Linked DNA regions of Mus musculus. The protein of the gene in region 1 interacts with the protein of each later gene in a pairwise test. Links are inferred from orthologs where the notes say so. Each region holds a gene or a part of one and is shown in the gene's direction. Other genes may lie near its edges.

Evidence for each region.
Region 2: the proteins of Txn1 (region 1) and Fst interact in binary tests that used the Homo sapiens proteins (3 or more experiments, as listed by UniProt). The link is inferred for Mus musculus from reciprocal best matches to the Homo sapiens genes TXN and FST.

The regions. Positions count from the first base shown.
Region 1 is NC_000070.6:57,953,612-57,957,589, reverse strand, and holds the start of Txn1 (thioredoxin), read left to right. Parts: upstream 1-1,178; 5' UTR 1,179-1,379; coding exon 1,380-1,403; intron 1,404-3,978. UniProt on the Homo sapiens protein: Participates in various redox reactions through the reversible oxidation of its active center dithiol to a disulfide and catalyzes dithiol-disulfide exchange reactions.
Region 2 is NC_000079.6:114,456,152-114,460,124, reverse strand, and holds the start of Fst (follistatin FST315 precursor), read left to right. Parts: upstream 1-1,173; 5' UTR 1,174-1,538; coding exon 1,539-1,623; intron 1,624-3,050; exon of another isoform or gene 3,051-3,329; intron 3,330-3,546; exon of another isoform or gene 3,547-3,570; coding exon 3,571-3,762; intron 3,763-3,973. UniProt on the Homo sapiens protein: Multifunctional regulatory protein whose primary function is to antagonize members of the transforming growth factor beta (TGF-beta) superfamily including activin, myostatin, GDF11 or bone morphogenetic proteins (BMPs).

The DNA.
Region 1 (3,978 bases):
AATGTTTTGAACAAGGGAAGCCAGTGGGTAGGGGTAGGGTGGCTGAGACACAGTTTCATTAGCCTCCCGTGCTTCACCTCGATGTAGATTTATCTAGATCGGCTCTCCAAATGCAGGCTTGGTGAGTTCCTCCCAGGATGCTGGCTCTGTCCAGTCTCCACCTCAGCTGCTTCACCAGAACATACAGCGGCACTCTTGGGGCTGCACAAAGCCACCTTAAGAATCTTAGCTTCTTCCACCATGCCCTGTCCTCCTGAACATCACCTCAGTTATCATTGAAGAAGACTCTTCCTGGCGTCCTCTCCCAAGGCGGAAAAATCTCCTCAAAGCCTATACTGTCATTGTAAATACAAGGCAGCCAAACTCAGCAAGGCCCCACAAGGCACCACGCAAGCTTAATTAGCGCTCGCGATGACTATAATTAGAATAATTCATTGAGTGCTTCCTTATGGGCCAAACGCTGTCCTCAGTCAGTTTTCAAGCCCTTAAATCCTTCAAGACAATGCTGGGAGCTAGACTATCCGATCTCTATCATGCCTACATGTGCATGGGGCACAGAACAGGGCTCTAAACGGCTCTGTGCCTCTCCCAGTAGCAGGTTCACCTGTTAAAGTTAAGGAATAGGAGAGAGAGAGGAGAAAGAAGCGGCAAAGAACTACCCAGAAAGTTGGCGAGGACGCGCACTGAGACACTTCCTGGTCATCGTTACTCAGCACTTTGAGTCGAACTGCAGCATGGCCGCCCTAGTCTAAGGATACACCTCTGCCTGGGCAGTCCTAGGGACTGTCCCCAGCCCCAATCTGGAAGTATCTGACTTAGGTCTAGTTTGGGGCATGGGCAGTGTGATTACAGAAGGACTCTACGGTGTGAGAGAGGACCGTGATCTACCCCGGCGCTGTTCGCTGTTAAAGTGCCCTTGAGGCAGCTGGAAGTTGGCTCTTAGGGGTAGCTGCCGCGCGGCGTCTGGAGCCTGGAAAAACCCGAAGCTGCTCCAGGAGCCTGTGCTAGCTCCGCCCCTTATAAACTAAGGTTCTTGTTCGGCAGCTTAGAGTGGGGCGGGGAAGCCAGGAGTGAGGCCAGCGCTAGGACAGTCCCCAGGCTGCACTAGTAGCCGACTCTGGCTCCGCCCCCTGGAAAACCGCCCCACCTCTTGGGGGCGTGGTCTAGGCGCGGCCTGCCCAGGCGCCTTGGCGGACGCGGGAGGCGGGAAGCGCGTCCCCGCCGCGCGTGCCCGTCCGCCCCGCCCTGCTGCGCTCCGCCCTATTTCTATAAAGAGAAGGCGGGCGCCGCACTCGGTTGCAAGCTCCGTTGGGCGCCTTGGATCCATTTCCATCTGGTTCTGCTGAGACGCGTGTGGCTCCCTCCCCGCAACAGCCAAAATGGTGAAGCTGATCGAGAGCAAGGTACGCATGCCCGGGCGCCGCGCACATCCCGCGGTGCTGAAGAGGACACTCTCGGTGTCCCCGCGGGCTTAGCGGCCCAGGGCCTGTGTGCGCCCTCGGCGGTGGAGCATGCCCTGGGGGAGGGGACGAGGGGACCCTGGAACGCCGGGTACGGGAGATGCACTCGTGGGCAGCACCTGAGTCCCCGGAGCTGCACTCCCTACCGCCAGCCCAAATCTGGCGGAGGTGAAGAGATGGACCGGGGTCCTCCTGTGACACTCCCCCCTTCCCGTGCCCCAACTGAATCAGGATTTAGGATCTCTAGGAAAAGATGGAGAGCCGCCACTTCTCGAGTACGCGGTGCCACACGCCGCGCGGGTGTGTTGTACTGCTGGGCTCGGCCTTAGTTTCCCTCCATCAGTGACCTGCCGCCTAGAGGACACAGGCCAGGTCGGTGCATGAGGGTGGGTCTCGGGTCCCAGTTAAGTACCCTCGGATCGGTACCCCAGGTGACTACTAAGGAGAAAGGTCCAGGCCGCGCCCGAGAGACTCCTCCTCCTGCGTCGCAGGGCGTGTTTCCGGCAGCTCTGGCTTTGGAATGACTCAGTCCCCAAAGTCTGGCCCCGGGGCCTCGCAACCTTAAGGTTTCAGTGATTGACCCTCCATAAGTGGGCTTTGCTGGAACCAGGGCTCTCCCCCAGGGAGTAGTCAAGTACAAAGTCCTGCCCTTTGGGAAAAGAAAAATAATACCCAAGGGAAAAACTGTTACCATATTCGAAAGTTACTGAGAACCAAAATATCCTCCAGATTGGGAAACCCAGAGCCTGTTACACTGTAACTATTCGGGGAATATTTATAAAATGAAAAGTGAAAGGAGGTTGGGGGTGGAAATTGATGTGTGAAAGACTGGCTCACCCTTAAACTAGGAAATCCGTGGAAGACAGGTCCGCGCCCTCCAGTTTTGAGCACCTGGTTGGGTCTCAGTACAAAAGTTGGCTCACCCACTACCAGCCATATTAGTCCCAGCACCCAGTTGGATCCTTATCTGTTTAAACTGACCTACTTATGGAACCTTTGCCATTCCAATAGGAGCGGTGTACATTGGTGCCAGGAAACCAGTTACTCGGAAAAAGCTTGGGCCCCAAAAGCCTGCTACCAAGGCTCTGATCGGAGTCGCCCAGAATCAGAAGTTAAACTGAATACACATAAATTTCATGTGATGGGCTTAAGTTGATTAATTAAACTATGTAAAATGTAGCCTTATTTCTGACGACTGTGTGGGTAGTTAAAGGCCCCTGGGGTCAATCTCCACACAGGAGTGGAATAATAGGCTATGATATAATGGCTCAGAAATCAACAGTTGATTTGCCGTGTTTATCTTTAAGAATAAAATTATTCCTTGAACTACACACACACTTTGCTCAGTGCTTCACAGACCACGTGTTAGACCAAGGCGTTGGCTCATGCCTCTAATCCCCAGCGCTCAGGAGGCTGGGCTGTCTCAAAAAAAAAGCAAAGAACACTTTGTTATTTGCTGAATATGGTTTTGTTGTTGGGGCTTTCTGTTTCGGTTTATATTCACATATAGGGGTGGGGCATCCATTGGCAGTGGTCAGAGGACAACTTGAGAGAGTTGGCTCACTTCTACCTTGTGGGTCGTGGGTATTGAACTCAGTTCGTTGGTCTTGGTGGCAGGCACTTTAATGTGCTGAGCCATCTTGCCAGCCCCTGAATTGGGTATGTTTGAGAAAAGAGATGATAGCATCTGCTCCGGTCTACTCCGGGTGTGTTGTTTTGTCTCCAGGTTATTGGTGTCAGTACTGGCGACACTTGCCAATTGTGGTTATTGGTTTCTAGAGCTAAAAATTGTGATGTGCTTCTTAGTAGATAATTTTGAATACTCTTCAAGCCAATACAGATCGGCAGAAGAAAACTTGTTTTGCAAGTTTGCACATCCCTGCCTCTGTAATTGGTGTTCACTGAAGCCCGAAATTAGGATTGTGAGCCGCATTTTCAGTATTTTGAGTAGTGTTGCTTGGTTTTGCCTCATAGCTTTTGGGGGTAAACCTTGAGAGTGTTTGAGATGCAGTTTGCCCTGTTTTGTCATGTAATCTCATCAACTGGGACTCAGGTCCCAGCTAAGGACCCTCGGATTTGGATCGGTACCCCAGGTGACTGCTAAGGAGCAAGGTCCAGGCCGCTCCCTAGAGACTCCTCCTCCTGCGTCGCAGGGCGTGTTTCTGGCAGCTCTGGCTCTGGAATGACTCTTTTCTTATTGAGGATCAATCGTGGTCCAGATGTGGGTGTCATCAGAGCAGCCTGCCATACCACCTTGACCTGTGTCTTACAATAAAGAATAGGTGCTGTGGCCTCTGATAATTACATAAGGGGAGATTTTGTAAGAGAATTATCTGCAACAACCAGTGGTGGTTGGGAACAGTGGTTTCCATTGCTCTGCCCGCTCTTCACACCCAGACATGGATTTGATGGGCAAGTCTGACTAGACGTCTCTGGAAGCTGTCGTAGCCATTCTGTAGTGTTCTCAGAAATGACATGTGATTGTTTTCCTTGAAAGAAAAAAAAATGTGAGATAGAA
Region 2 (3,973 bases), on another chromosome or scaffold:
AGAGGAGGACCGGGGGGGGGGGGCGCTAGGGCTGGGGCTAGAGAAGAAGGGCGAATTTGAAATCCGTAAGAGCAAATCCCAATGACCTGGGAATGTCCAAGAATTTTGTCTGTTTTGTTCGCTGTTTGTTGTCGTTCGGGCTTCAGAAGCGAAAAGAATAGAAATTTAAAAGGCAGCTTTGAAATAAACAATATAGCCTTTTCCGTGAAGTAATCGTTTTATATAAAAGGAAATATCGCCTCCTCAGTTTCATTCAGCCGTGCCAGAAAATGTTATAAATGAGAAGACCCGCCAACTTTCGGCGAAGAATGCCAGGCATTGCACTCAATAAACTGAGGCTGCAGAAGTTCATTATCATGGTGCAATCTTTTTTTTAAATAAGAGAGAGAGAGAGAGAGAGAGAGAGGAGTCGGGACAGAAACTGGGGCGTCTCGGAGCGGGGGAGGAGGGGGGCAGACCGCCTACGTCGGCGCCCCCGCTCGGGGCTGCGACTCCAGACGCGACGAAGTGAAAGGGGAGAAAAGAAAGGGAGAGGGCGAGACTGCCGGGGGCGGCCGGCTCCGAGGTGTTAAACATTTTTGTTTGCTTCTGACTTGTGGAGCCCGAGGGCCGCGTCTCCGCAGCGCTCGGCCCGGGTGGAAGGTGCCCGGGGGTCGGGGTTCTTAGCAACCTACTCCAGGCTGGGGGGGGAGGGGGCGCGGGAGGGAGTGGGAGGCGGGGGAGCTGGCAGGGTGGCCGCAAAGTAAGACACGTAAGAGACCTCGGGACACAAAACGTCTCCGGGACCCCGCGCCAAGGCTCTGCAGGGAGGCTCCTGAAACTGCTCCCCCGGGCATTGAAGCAGCTCAGGGATCCTGCGGCGGGTTGCAGAAGTCTCATCCCGGAGCCCTGGAGCAGAGGTGCTGGGGACCCATTCCCGGGGTCCTCCGGGGTCCCCGCGCTCCGCCGGCCGCCTCCTCCAGCGCCCTCACTCACACGCGCACACGCACACACGCGCGCACACACACACTCGCACGCCACCCCGGGCGCGCCGGCTCCGAGCGGCGGCGTGCAGGACTGAAGTGGATGTTCCTCCCCACCCCCGACGCGTCGCCCCCAGCCCCCGCCCCTGCCTCCTTCCCCCCTCCCCTCCCGCTCCTACGCAAATAAGAACTCGGCGATTCCCCTCCTGCCGCTTTGATTTCGGGCACCTCCGACAGATAATTGGGAAGGGTTTCCAGAAGGTGGGAAATGTCACCTGATTCACACTGAACTTTTAAAAGCTCCCCACCCCCAAAGAGCCGGCACACCCTCGGTCGCGGCCGCCCTCCCACAGCCCCACACACTGGGAGACCGCCCACCGCAAACCTCGGAGACCCCCGTCTAGATTTAAAGCGCGGCTGCGCCCGGCTTCTGACGTCCATTGAATCGCGCGGGCGGCCGGTGGCGAGCGCGGGGCTGCGCCGGGATCGCTGCGCCCTCCGCCGCTCGCCTCTGCGACGCGCGCCGCTCGCCCGAGCCACCCGCCGCCGCGCTCCTCGCCCCGCGCCTGCCCCAGGATGGTCTGCGCCAGGCACCAGCCCGGCGGGCTCTGCCTCCTGCTGCTGCTACTCTGCCAGTTCATGGAGGACCGCAGCGCCCAGGGTGAGTGGAAGGGATGCGCCCAGAGGCTCGGCTGGGGCAGGGGTTCTACTTTTCTGCTGTCTCCACTTGGTCTGTTCTGACCTACGCTGCTCTCGGAAGATGTTGGAACCACCCGGCTACTCCTGTAGAACGGAACGGGAGGGAAAGACTGAAGGCAGTGACACTTTAGGATAGAGAGCGGAGTTTAGAGCCAGGTTACCCTCAAAAAGGAAAGGGCTTGAGTGGAGGAGCTGGAGCCTCAGTAGTTAGGGGTAGATGCTCCAAGTTCTGGTCCTAATGACTTTAGATGTTATCTCCCCTGGCTGGCTCGGGAGAAGGGCGAGCATCCGTAGCCTGGAGATTACAGTCGACCTACTAGCAATCTATCCATCTTCCTTCCATATCTTTTGGAGACTCTTTAAAAAAAAAATGACGGGGTGGGGGATGGGAGATACCGAATTTTCTTGGGTGGCCGGGGGACGTGGTTTCAGAAACTTTGCCCAAACTTGGAAATGTGGGTACTGAAATTTTTAGAGGGAGGTAGTTTTACGCTTAGCGGATGCTCCTTCTGCCTCTTTCCCCCAAGCCCCGCGAAAAAGAAGAAAGACAAACCAAATTATTAGCCCGAAGTGTTTTAAGTACTTTACAGTTTTCTCCACTTTGCCTCATTCCTGTTAACTTCTGTGAACCAAGCAGCCCACAAGCTATTTAGACTCCGACCTGGATTAAAGAGCAAATTTCTGAAGTTTATCTTCTAAAATTAAAAATGAATTGATTTTATTACAATTAGTCTCCAGGCTGGATTTCTTTTTTAAAAATAGTGGTAACCCCGCAGCTTCACGACAATTACTCTCGAGTCACTTTGGTGATTCATGAGACGTCTGCTTGCCCAAAGTCCGAACACATTAAATAGGGACAGAGAAAGAAACTATTTGTAAAGAGGTTCTTGGGAGACATAAGGTAGGTATGTGTGACCCGGTAGACGCCTCCGGGTTCTAACCCTGCTGCGTTGCCTGTTGGAGCGGTAAGGTTTTGTGTGTCGTAAGCTGCCCTCCCCGGCACCGGTCCTAGCCGTCTGCCCGACACTAGGCTGGGCTACCAGCCTTGCTGATAGGGGCGCTGCCTGGGTGCCGGGACGTGGGCGCCAGAGAAAGCAGCCCTCGGAAATTTCGAAAGACCGCGGTGGCTGCGGGCGTGCTCCGGGCTGGCGGATTGCAAAACGGGCCCGTCGGGCGGGCTGCGCCTCGAGGCCGCTCAGGGCAGATCCAGGCTGGGCCCGACTGCTTTTTTTTTTCCTTTCATTTTTCACAAGTATCTTTATGCTTGATCTGTTCCTGCAGATTCATATTCATTCTCCCTACACTCCCCCCTCTCCCCTCCCTCCTCCCCTCCCTTCCACGTCTCCCCTCTCTTACTTTCTTAACCCCTGTCACAAATAATTCTCTTACCGCCTACATGAAACCGACATGTAAAAACATCCGTCGCATCCTGTTTTTGTCAGGTTCTTTAATCTGGTCTTCCAGTCGCTGCAGGTTATGAAATGGGACGAATAAAAGTAAACAGTCTAGTAAAAGTCAATGCAAGCTGCACGTGTTGTGTCTGGGTCACTGGTAACTGACATTGATATGGCTGGGGCGCAGCGGCGGCCGCTCTAGCCCACCTCCCACCTCCCACCTCGGTGACGGGTCCTTCCCCACTCTCCCCTTTGGAGATTCATATTCTCTCTCTCTCTCTCTCTCTCTCTCTCTCTCTCTCTCTCTCTCTCTCTCTCTCTCCCTCCCTCCCTCCCTCCCTCCCTTCCTCCCACATCCCTCTCTCCCTCTCACATCCCACTGTCCCTCTCCTGCTCCCCTTCCCCCAATCACTTGCTCCCCGCCCCACCAGGCCTCTTTGCCCAGCTCTAAGCAGCCTTCCTTCCCGCTACCCCACGGCTCACTCATTCACCTACTGATCCCTGTCTCTTCACAGCTGGGAATTGCTGGCTCCGCCAAGCAAAGAACGGCCGCTGCCAGGTCCTGTATAAGACAGAACTGAGCAAGGAAGAGTGTTGCAGCACCGGCCGGCTGAGCACCTCATGGACCGAGGAGGATGTGAACGACAATACTCTCTTCAAGTGGATGATTTTCAACGGGGGCGCCCCCAACTGCATCCCTTGTAAAGGTGGGCCTCCTCTCCCCTAGGCGGCAGGCCCTCAGTAGAGGGCGTCTTGCCCTCAGCGTTCCTACTAGCTGACTGAAGCTTAGGATTGGCAGAGTTTTGTTCAGTTTCTCCTTTTTTTTTTTTTTTTTCAAATTCTACCCGGAGTGGAGTTAGCTAGTGGAATCTGCCTCTGCTCGCGCTGGAGGCAAAACAAGGTCGGAAGAGGTCAGTC